Linked DNA regions of Mus musculus. The protein of the gene in region 3 interacts with the protein of the main gene of each other region in a pairwise test. Links are inferred from orthologs where the notes say so. Each region holds a gene or a part of one and is shown on either strand. Other genes may lie near its edges. The genes, in order: Foxo4, Mark3 and Sfn.

Region 1 (3,748 bases), on a different chromosome or scaffold from region 3:
TCACTTGATCTCTGAGATCATCTGTATTTTCATCTATAAAACAGATATAATAGTGGTTAACCATACCTTGCATGGTTAAGTGAGCTGTAAGTGAGCTAATTTTGATATGCTGGTTTGAATAAGAATGCCCCCCATAGGCCCACTAGGAAATGGCTTTATTTGAAAGGATTAGAAGGATTAGAAGCCGGTGCACTGTTGAAGAACTTAAACCCAGTCATAATGTCTCCATTTAGAATTTGGAAGTAGCAAGTTACAGAAGTGGAAAGGTGACCATCAGTGTGGCTGAGAAGGTTAGGTAGACCCAGAACAGCCTCTAACCAAATTCAGAGCTTAAGAGTAGGGATCGGGGATTTAGCTCAGTGGTATAGCACTTGCCTAACAAGGGCTAAGGCCCTGGAGTCGGTCCTCAGCTCCAGAAAAAAGACAAAATAACAGAGGTTAAAGGTAGCTAGAGGGTGGAGGTATAGGTGCAGAAAGAGATTAAAAAAAAAAAAAGTTCAGTTGGAGACATGTTGAATGAGAAGCCATTGAAGATCAGAACAAGGAGAAGATCAGTATTTCAGAGGCCTGCATAGCTGACAGAGGAAACTAGCAAGACTGTCTGTGAAATGTACATAGAAAATGGAGAGAGTGCACCATAACCAATGAACACTGTTTGTTGTTACACAAGCTTCCCTCTCAACTCCCCAAGTGAGTGTGTCTTATTTTCTAATCAGATCCCTACTTGTTGATACTCTTTCTGCTTCTTATAAGGGCAATACATTTTCACTTTGCTTTCTTAGTGAAGGATGGGAAAATCTAGCGTCTTTCAAAACGATCTTTTGGGCGACCCCGAAACTCGAGGAAGTGGGTGAAAAGGGAAGGAATGAGGAAAAATATTTTTAAGAAAAGAAAAAGAGTCCGGGACGACCTCTAATCATTAAAGTTCCACCTCCCCACATCCTGCCACGCGCCGCTCTCCTGCGGCCGATATCGGACTCCTGATCGCAAGGTAGGACGGGAGATGTAGTCTTCGAGAACGACCAGGGTGGCACGATTCGAGAACTCAGTTTCCCAAGTGGCTCCTGAGGCGCGTGCGCAGATGGCTGCCCCAGCGAGTGGTAAACAGAGACGTCTGGCGGGGGCTGCTGCTTGGAGCAAAACAAAAGGGAAACCCGGGGGGCGGGGGGTGGGGGGGTCCGATAGGGGATTCAGTTCTGGAGTTGGGGAGGCTGGGGCCGCAAGAACCTTGACCCTCTCAAGAGTGACCTGGAGGGAAGAGGCGAGGGGAGGGAGAGCCAGGGGAGGGACAAGTGACGCCCGGGAGCGGGGCGTGGGGGAGGGCAGCGATCCGGGTGGAGGAAATTTGGGAGGAGTGTCCGGGGGGCAGCAACTTGAAAGGGGGAGGGAACTTCGCTGAGGAGACGTTCGGTGATGGGAGCGCAATGTATGAGGGGATACGGTGCCTCAGGTTTAAAAGAGCAGGAAGCTGAGTGAGAGGGTGCAGAAAGTGCCTTCGCTAGGCGGAGGTTACAGGTGGTGCCTCAGAGCGCTACTCTGAGGCTGCAGCCCGGACTCCGGAGGGGATCGGAGAACGGAGTGAAAGGGACAGTTTAGGAGCTAGAGTCCGGAGACGAGGGAGAAGTTCGTGACTTTCTGAGAACTGGAAAGAATGTGTTTCCCCCCTTGGGGGAGGCATGGTGAGGGACTGTGGCAGGCTCCACTGATCGCTGAGCTGCAGAGGTTCGACCCCACGTATGGATCCAGAGAATAAGAAGTCAGCCACAGGGGCTGCCGCGATCCTAGACCTCGATCCCGACTTCGAACCCCAGAGCCGTCCGCGATCCTGCACCTGGCCCCTTCCTCGACCAGACCTCGCTACGGAGCCACACGAACCGTCCGAGGTGGAGCCCAGTCTGGGACAGAAGGTACCCACGGAGGGACACTCCGAACCGATCCTGTTGCCCTCTCGGCTCCCAGAGCCGGCAGGGGGCCCCCAGCCGGGAATCCTGGGGGCTGTAACAGGTCCTCGGAAGGGAGGCTCCCGCCGGAATGCCTGGGGAAATCAGTCATATGCAGAACTCATCAGCCAGGCCATTGAAAGCGCCCCGGAGAAGCGGCTGACACTCGCCCAGATCTACGAATGGATGGTCCGCACGGTGCCCTACTTCAAGGACAAGGGTGACAGCAACAGCTCGGCAGGATGGAAGGTAAGTATGACTCCCTTACCTTCACGCCATCCACCCTTGGACCCCTCTAGTTACTCTCACTCCGGGGCCCCCCATTACCGCCTTTCCACCCCTTTGGAAAGCCCAAAGATCCACCTTTAATCTTCAGTTAGACAGGCATTTACTTAGTACATAGTATATACCACACTCTGAGCAGCTTGAAGCAGGAGGATCGGAGATGAATAAGACACTGTCCCTGCTCTGAGGAAAATCGAATTCTCTACTCGCTACTCAGCACTTTGGCTTGAGCTGCTCCAAACATTTATTCCCACAGAGAAGTCTTTATCCTATGTACAGCAGGAACTGTGTGGATTCTCCACCGGCACCTAGCCTTCCCTCCTCCCTCCCCTCCCACCCAACACCTTTTGGCCCATTCCTGCGGGATTACTCGGATTCCCTGCTCGCCTCCCAATACCTCAGTGAACAGAACTGTTCTACGATTGCTCTGCCCAAGAGGGAGTGGGCGGTGAAGGGGGGCAAAGTGGTTGGTATCCATGGGGAAAGGTAGCGACCTTGTGCACTAAGGAAAGAGGCCCGCAAGCTGCTATCTGCCTCAGTTTACCTTCTCCTGACGAAAATCCTTCCTTGTAAGGCGCTCTCCAAACTCACGGGGAAAGTCTTTGTTCAGGAATACTACTCATGGAGAAAGGAGGTATCATATAGCTTTGACTTTCGAGTCCAAGTTGGTCCTTGGTCTTTCTTGAAGAAACTGGGAAGATCTCAAACGGTAACTCTGAAAACTTCGCCAGAGAAATACGGACTCTAATCACAAAACTAAGGAGGGTTCAGCCCGTATCCATGCCTTGTATCTCTCTCTGTAGGTGGTTTGTGTTAGTGTACCAAGTACAGCGGACAGAATGGACCTTCACGTAGACGTTAGAGTGAGGGAGCAGATCTACAATGTGCGGAGGGGCCAGACTGAACAGAAGATGGGACAGCTGACCGAGACCCTTGGCGCTATTTCTGGGTAGACTGCCATGCCACAATCTGAAGCTCACAAAGAGCTTCCCTCCTTGGACGCAGCCTGCACAGCTGTTTTTCTTTTCCCTTAAGTTGATTTTCCAGGGTAGAATGACCACGAGTGCTTGTTACACTGGGAGTAGTCCCTTCTTATGACTTACACGTAACACGGCCTTTAGAGTTTATGAAGTCTTTTTTTTTTTCCTCCCCTTTTGATTCTAGGAACTGAACCCAGGGCCGCATGGTTGCCACTAAGCTAAATCCATAACCGGTGAAATCTAAGAATTTTTTTTTCATTTAGTTAGTCCGCCTTGGCAGTTCGGAGTCCACATTTTGCATCTGAGGAAATGAAGGCCCAGGGAGGTTAGGTAATGAGTCTACCCTCAAGATGAGGACTTGAGGACAAGCTTTGCTACAGACCCTGCTTCTCTGAGGAAAGCGTGGTTTGCTTTCATTGCCAAACCTAGTCAAAAGGGGGCCACAAGCTCCCAGAGTGTCCCCCCTCCCCACGCAGGAAGCTTAATACTTCCCTGGTGTTGTGCCAGGGTCACTCCCACCCCACCAGGGGGCGGCACTCACTT
Region 2 (3,648 bases), on a different chromosome or scaffold from region 3:
TTCCCACCCCTCAAATCGACAGTACTCCATGGTTCCTGCAGCTACCTAATCCCATTTTCTTCCATAAACTCTGGAAAGCTGTTTGCATGACTTCACTAGTATTTCAAGGACTGCAAAGACAGACTGACTCTGTGCCCCTAGAGTCTGAGGAGGAGACTACGCTGGCACTGGCCACCTGCACCTGGGAGCAGGCTGTTGACCTTTCCCTGCGCTCTCATTCTGGGTGTGGCTCCTGACCTCAGGCTCCCACCTGCTTCTCTTTCTCTCTAAGCTGTTAGTGTTAGCATCCCCTAGTCAACATGGTCAGGAAATGCTATCGGTCCTTCAGAAACTCCCTGCTTTGACCCTAACTCCTCCTTGTCACAACTGCTGATTATAGGGGTAGAGGCTCTGGACAAAGAGAGAAATCTGGAGTCCTAATATCTTGCTAGAAACTAACATTTAAAGTTTACTTACCTTAAAAGAATAATTGGTAGCCATTTGAATTATAAATTGATTATAAAAGTGAGAAGTAACACACTTTAACTTCTTTTGGGAGAAAACTCTTTTTGCCAATAGGTAAATTTCACACCTGTTTTCTTTGCCGTTCTGAATCACAGAATGTCTGTCTGCTGCACATCTCTCGCTGCAAACGTAAGTGTTCCGCCGTGTCATCCCACCAGATGCTGTGTTACTCTGTAAGAAAGGAGCATTTTTACTTTGGACTATTTGGTGATAAGTATAATTTAGTAAGAACCACCCTCTTCCCCCACCAGAAAAAAAACCCCAAAAAACAAAAAAATATACTAAACACTATTTATGCAAATAAAAAAAAACCTGTAAGAGAGGTGCTGTCTGTGCCTGGAGGGTAGAGATTGGTGTCTGCTTTGTTTCTGAATTATTCTCTACTGACTGAGGAGGTACCTGAACTCAGAACTCTCAGACTGAGGCTGGAGTATTTAGCCAGCTTTTCCAAGGGACATCCTGTCTCTGCCTTTACAGTATTGAGACTATAGGCAAGTGGCCACACCCATCTGGGTTTTATGTGGGTGCTGAGGCCCTGAACTCTGGTACTCACACTTGGGTGGCAGGCAATTTATTCATTAAATCATTTTACAAGACTAACATAGTCGTTTATAAACAAACAAACAAACAAACAGACAAATAAAAAAGTGTCCATGCACACATATGTGTGTTCGTGAGGATGCCAGAAGAGGGCACTGGATCCTCTAGAGCTAGAACTATGGGTGGTGGTGAGCTTCACACCCATAGGTATTGTAGGTATTGGGAACTAAACTTTGGTCCCTTGCAAGAACGGAAAGCACTCTTAGCCAATGAGCCGTCATTCCAGTCTCCTTAAAATTAAAACATGACAACACATTAACAGACGAGCATAGAATAAGTATGAACAACAACAACAAAAAAGTATAAAGGACCAGGACTAAAGAGAGCTCAGCAGTTAAGAGCACTCACTAGCTGCTCTTCCAGAGGAAATGATGAAAAGACTGCTGGTCATTAAGTAAATGCAATTCCAAACCATAAGCTATTACTGCAAACCTGCTACGGATGGCTACAATAAAAAATGAAAATATAAGGACCTTAAGGGCAAGGCACTTTCTGAGAAGGACCCAAGTTCAGATGCAAGCAGCCCAGAACGCATGTAGTAGAACGCATGGAGTGAGTGTGCATTTGCAAGCACATCCTGGGGGCATAGATGGAGTCAGTGGATGCCTCAGACTTGCTGGCCAACCAATCAAGCTGAGTTCTAGGTTTAGCAAGACACCGTGCTGTGTCAAACACAAGTTGGAGAGTAACCTCTGACCTTCACATGTACACTCGTGTGCACCCGGGAATACATACATGTATATATACCACACATGATAAACACAGAAGTGTGGATAGGAGTCAGAAGGATAACTCATTTACTGCTGAAAAGAATTGAAAACAAACAGTTGGCAGTTCCTCAAAGTTAGATCTAATTACAACACAAGCCAACAATTGCATCCCTAGTTAGGAACCCAGGAGAAATGAAAACCTAAAACCCAGCCTTAGTGTCACAGCTGTCATTCCAGCACTTCTGAGGCTGAGGAAGGAGAACTGCTAAGAGTTCAAGGCTACCCTGGACTACATAGTGAGACCCCATTTTGGTTCAACGTCTAGGACCCACAGGTAGAAAGAAACATCTTTCCAAAGCTGTCTTCCGACCTCTCTAGGCATGAGGATGTCTGACCTAATCAGTGAGCGTCAGGGGCAGAGGTTCCTCCTCCTTCCACTGTCAACCTCGGTCCTTCATCCTCATCCACACAGGCAAGTGTATGCACAAGCATACACCGCACACAGACACACAGAACAGAGAACTCTAGGCCACAGACATTTTATACAAATATTTACACTGTCACTCTTTATGTCTAACAGGTAGAAACAATCTAAACGGCTATCATCAGATGGTAACATTTCATTCCTCCTAAAGCTTGAGTGCTAGTCCATTGCATATACGGACTACAATTCATTGGATTGTACACTGTGGCTGTCTCAGACACACCAGAAGAGGGCATCAGATACCATGACAGACGGCTGTGAGCCACCATATAGTGGTTACTAGGAATTGAACTCAGGACCCCTGCAAGAGCAGTCTGTGCCCTAAACCACTGAACCATCTCTCCAGTCCTTGAAGTTTGTGTGTGTGTGTGTGTGTGTGTGTGTTTTGCCTACATGCAAGTCTGTGCACCACGTGTGTAAAGTGCCTATGGTGATCAGAGAGGGTATTAGATCTCCTGGAACTGGAGTTACAGGAAGCTTTGAGCCACCACCATCTGTATGATGGGAAGAATTGAACCTGTGTCTTCTGGATAAGAAACAAGTGCTCTTAAGCTCTGAGATAACTCTCTAGCCCCAATTTATGTTATTTTTAATTATGTGTCTACTTATGAGTACAAGTACTGGCAGATGTCACAGGTAGTCGGTACACATGGAACCAGAGTTACAGATGGTTGTTATTCACCTGAGGGGTGCTGGCAACCACATTCTGGTCTTCGGCAAAGACTCTTCAAACTACTGACCCATTTCTCCAGTCCCTTCACCTTGAACTCCTTGATCATCCTGCCTATACCTTCCAAGCACAATGATTAGGGTTATCCACCACCACACCTAGTTTATGTGATGCCAAAAACTCAACTCGGGACTCTCCCATGCTATGTAAACACTATCAACTGAGCTTTATTTTCGTTTTTGTTTTTTTTTTTTTGGTTTTTGTTTTTGGTTTTTCAAGACAGGGTTTCTCTGTGTAGCTCTGGCTGTCCTGGAACTCACTCTGTAGACCAGGCTGGCCTCGAACTCAGAAATCCACCTGTCTCTGCCCCGCAAGTGCTGGGATTAATTAAAGGCGTGCCTGGCTGAACTTCATTTTCTTATTTATTTATTTAAGTAAGATATGTAAATACACTGTAGCTGTCTTTAGACACTCCAGAAGATGGCATCAGATTTCGTTACAGATGGTTGTGAGCCACCATGTGGTTGCTGGGATTTGAACTCAGGACCTTTGGAAGAGCAGTCGGCTCTCTTAACCGCTGAGCCATCTCACCAGCCCCCTGAACTTCATTTTCAACACCAACCACAACATTAAAAAAAAAAAATTGTGATTTTTGTTTGTTTTGAGACAGAGTTTCACTG
Region 3 (3,507 bases):
GCTCTGTAGAGAGTCCGTCCAGTGATTGGGCCGTGGAGACGGCGGCGGGCTGCCCCGGGCTGGTGCGTGTCGCTGCCTGCCGGGCGCGCAGGCCGTGGGCTGCTCAGCCCAGCTCCCTGCGGCTCTTCCCACCCAGCTCGCGCCCGCTCCTCTTCAGCCGATTTCTTTTTGTCCCTGGGCCTTGGGGAGCTTTCCCTTATTTGATCTGTTTTATTGGAGGCACTATGCCCCTGCCTCAGATTGCACCCCTCGGCTCAGATCTGAGCACTTGACGTGACCGTTTCCCGCTTCTTAAAGTGAGGTCCCCAGTGCCACTTGTGAAGCGTGTCTCTTAAGGCCACTGTGCCCAAACTTCCCTGACTTCGCGGCTTTCCCGCCTACAGCCCCCACTCTCCTCTGCTCTCCTGACCTGCCTCTGTGCTCACCTGGCCTGAGCCGAAGCGCTGCGGGGACTTCCTGGTGGCCTCTCACCTGAAGTCACCCTACCCAAAATTTCCAGGTCACCGACACCGACCCAAAGGCTCGTCTCACTTCCAGGTCACCCAGACAGCCCCAAGGGACAGACCTAGCTCAGAGTTTCAGAGTCCGGTTCTCTTAACTCATTTCTAATTCTACTCTCAACCCATGGCCAATAACTGAAGAAGACCGAGTGTCACAGGGCAACTTTATTGAGTGGTAGCATGGTCACACCCAGCAAACGTGTTCCCTCTCATTCACTCTCTCTCTCTCTCTCACACACACACACACAGAGTTTCCCTCTCTCTCACACACACAGCCCTTGCCACAGTCCAGTTCTCAGCCACAGGGTGGGGAGCCTCCTGGATTATTCGGATCCAGAAGCAACAGGTGCCCGAGGGAGGCTCAGGGGGAGGAAGTGGGGAGGGGGTGCAGAGAGCAGGGGTGGGATGGGTTGGGAACACCCACCAGACAGCTACACGAAGAGTGAGATTCCCTGCCCTGGTGGCTTCAGCTTGGCTGCGCCCCCTTCAAAGGAGCCTTCCAAGGTGTGGCTGAACATTCAGGGTTTGGGAAGGGCAGAGTCCCACTCCGTTTTAGTCCTCTCTGCAGGCTGGGGACTGGAGGGCAAGGCGAGCCGGGGTGGTTGTCGGCTGCTTCAGCTCTGGGGCTCCTCCGGAGCCTCACCACCCTCTTCCCCAGCACTGTCGGCTGTCCACAGCGTCAGGTTGTCTCTCAGGAGCTGCATGATGAGGGTGCTGTCCTTGTAGGAGTCCTCACTGAGGGTGTGCAGGTCGGCCATGGCCTCGTCGAAGGTGGTCTTGGCCAGCGAGATGGCCTCCTCGGGGCTGTTGGCTATCTCGTAGTGGAAGACTGAAAAGTTCAGGGCCAGGCCCAGGCGGATGGGGTTGGTAGGCGGCATCTCCTTCTTGCTGATGTCCATGGCCTCCTGGTAGGCTGACCGGGCAGAATCGATGATGCGCTTCTTGTCATCGCCAGTGGCCACCTCGGCTAGGTAGCGGTAGTAGTCACCCTTCATCTTCAGGTAGAAGACGCGGCTCTCTGCATCTCCAGCCCCTTTGATGAGGTGCGAGTCCAGCAGGCCGAGTACGGTGTCGCACACACCTCTGAGCTCGGTCTCTACCTTCTCCCGGTACTCTTTCACCTCGGGGCCCTTCTCTTCTGACCCCTCCTCGTTGCTCTTCTGCTCGATGCTGGACAGGACCCTCCAGGCCGCTCTCTGGCCGCCCACCACGTTCTTGTAAGCTACGGAAAGCAGGTTTCGCTCCTCGCAGGAGAGCTCCTCGCCCTTTTCCACGGCGCTCTTCATGAAAGCTGCCATGTCTTCATACCGTTCGGCCTGTTCAGCCAACTTGGCCTTCTGGATCAGACTGGCTCTCTCCATGACTGCGAGGATGGACAGACAGACGGGCGAACTGGCTGTCTCGAGAGTAACGCTGGGTTCTGCGGCTCCCTTGCTCTGGCTCTGCCTTTTGGCTGGGGTGGCATGGCCCTGAGAAGAGTTGGGCGTGGTCTGAGCGGGCCTGGGCCCTGCCTCCTCCTAGTCTTCGCCACACCCTTTCCGGCTCTACCTTTAAGGTAAAAGGGCTGGGACGGGAGGGGGCTGTGAGTCACCAGGACAGTCAGCAGGAGAAACCTGGCCGCAGGTCCCACCTGCAAAGGCACCTTTCGGCTCCAGACTGCCCCCTGCAGTTCAGGGCTGGCTGCATTGCAGGAGCGTCTTGGATTACCAAATCAGATTGTCTTTCAGGGTGATCTTCCAGGCTTCAGCCACCGAGCTGCTTTAGCCCAGGCAGAGCCCAGGGAGCTGGGACAGTTCAGGTGAGAACTCATGTATAGGTAGGGCTGTACAGTTTCCCCCAAACTTGCGCATCCATGATCTGATGCAACTACCCCCAACCCCCGAATTGGCTCTGTAGGACTGTAGAGGTAGAACTATCAAGTCTCAGGGGTGAACCAAACCAGTTTGAGGTCACAAGCTGCCAGCTCCCTTAAACCCCTCCCCCTCCGTGTCCCCTCTTCCTCTTGGCTCTCTTTGGGGGCCATTAGCTGAGCCGGCCTGAAGATAGCTCCATCCCTTGGTCCTTGTTCTCCCTCAAGATGCCCTATGAACACCCCAGATGCGCAGGTGGCATCTCAGGGTGCCACTTAATGAAGTGTTTAACGAGCGGCCTCTGACGCTCCAGCCCAGCCTTTGTAATTAGTCACCCAATATGTTTGTTGGACACCTTCCCCCTTACAGCACAATTTTCCCTTTCAAGTTGGTGGCCTGTTGACACTTGTCTGAGACTTTACTCTCTGGTTCTCCACATCGGGTCACCCGTCCCTTCCAAGCTGCCTGTCGTCATGTATCGGCAGGGTTCCCAGAGGGTGGGGGCCTAACTCTTTGACTGTCCCACTCCCCTGCCTGACTCAGATTACCTCTGTCAGAGGCTGGGAAGCAGGCCACCTGGGTGCTCAGTCCAGTTTGGTCCCCCAGGGGGGACGCTATCAACCTGGGGAGGAAGACAGGGCTGAGGGAAAGGAGCTGGGAATGGCACATTCCATTTTGTTTTATGGCGCAGTGTGTGATTCCAGCCCAGTATGATCCCTCACTTGGCTCCCAGAGGTTCTCAAGTCCCTTCAAGACTCTGCCTCTGACCCCTGAGAGAAGTCTCCTTGGAGATGGAGATCACTTTGTTCCCAATCTTCCATCCCTGATTGGTTGGGCCCTATTTTCAAGGCCCATGATAAGAATGGGCACTGAGGGTGTGTTCCTGCTTATGTGCCCCACCACATTCTTCAAGTTTAGATGGGACTCCGTGGTTCCTTCTAAAGAAGTTTCTTCCTAGGACCCAGCCAGTCTAACCCTTGAAGCAGGACTATTGCACAACCTTGCCTGTCTCCTCACAGTGTCTGAGCACTCGCCTTGCCTCCGGGAGAGGTGTTGTAGGCCAGAACCCTGAACAGGCTGGAATGTGCTTGGGCCACGGAGTAGGGGCTCTTGAGAGACTTCAGGGTCCTGGCTAATTTTACAGGTTCTCCCAGGAA

What was found.
Region 1: the proteins of Sfn (region 3) and Foxo4 interact in binary tests that used the Homo sapiens proteins (3 or more experiments, as listed by UniProt). The link is inferred for Mus musculus from reciprocal best matches to the Homo sapiens genes SFN and FOXO4.
Region 2: the proteins of Sfn (region 3) and Mark3 interact in binary tests that used the Homo sapiens proteins (3 or more experiments, as listed by UniProt). The link is inferred for Mus musculus from reciprocal best matches to the Homo sapiens genes SFN and MARK3.

The regions. Positions count from the first base shown.
Region 1 is NC_000086.7:101,253,085-101,256,832, forward strand, and holds the start of Foxo4 (forkhead box protein O4), read left to right. Parts: upstream 1-1,443; 5' UTR 1,444-1,736; coding exon 1,737-2,189; intron 2,190-3,028; coding exon of another isoform or gene 3,029-3,178; exon of another isoform or gene 3,179-3,748. UniProt on the Homo sapiens protein: Transcription factor involved in the regulation of the insulin signaling pathway. Binds to insulin-response elements (IREs) and can activate transcription of IGFBP1.
Region 2 is NC_000078.6:111,636,964-111,640,611, reverse strand, and holds part of Mark3 (MAP/microtubule affinity-regulating kinase 3), read right to left. Parts: intron 676-3,648; coding exon 572-675; intron 1-571. UniProt on the Homo sapiens protein: Serine/threonine-protein kinase. Involved in the specific phosphorylation of microtubule-associated proteins for MAP2 and MAP4. Phosphorylates the microtubule-associated protein MAPT/TAU. Phosphorylates CDC25C on 'Ser-216'.
Region 3 is NC_000070.6:133,599,909-133,603,415, forward strand, and holds Sfn (14-3-3 protein sigma), read right to left. Parts: upstream 2,261-3,507; 5' UTR 1,862-2,260; coding exon 1,115-1,861; 3' UTR 648-1,114; downstream 1-647. UniProt on the Homo sapiens protein: Adapter protein implicated in the regulation of a large spectrum of both general and specialized signaling pathways. Binds to a large number of partners, usually by recognition of a phosphoserine or phosphothreonine motif.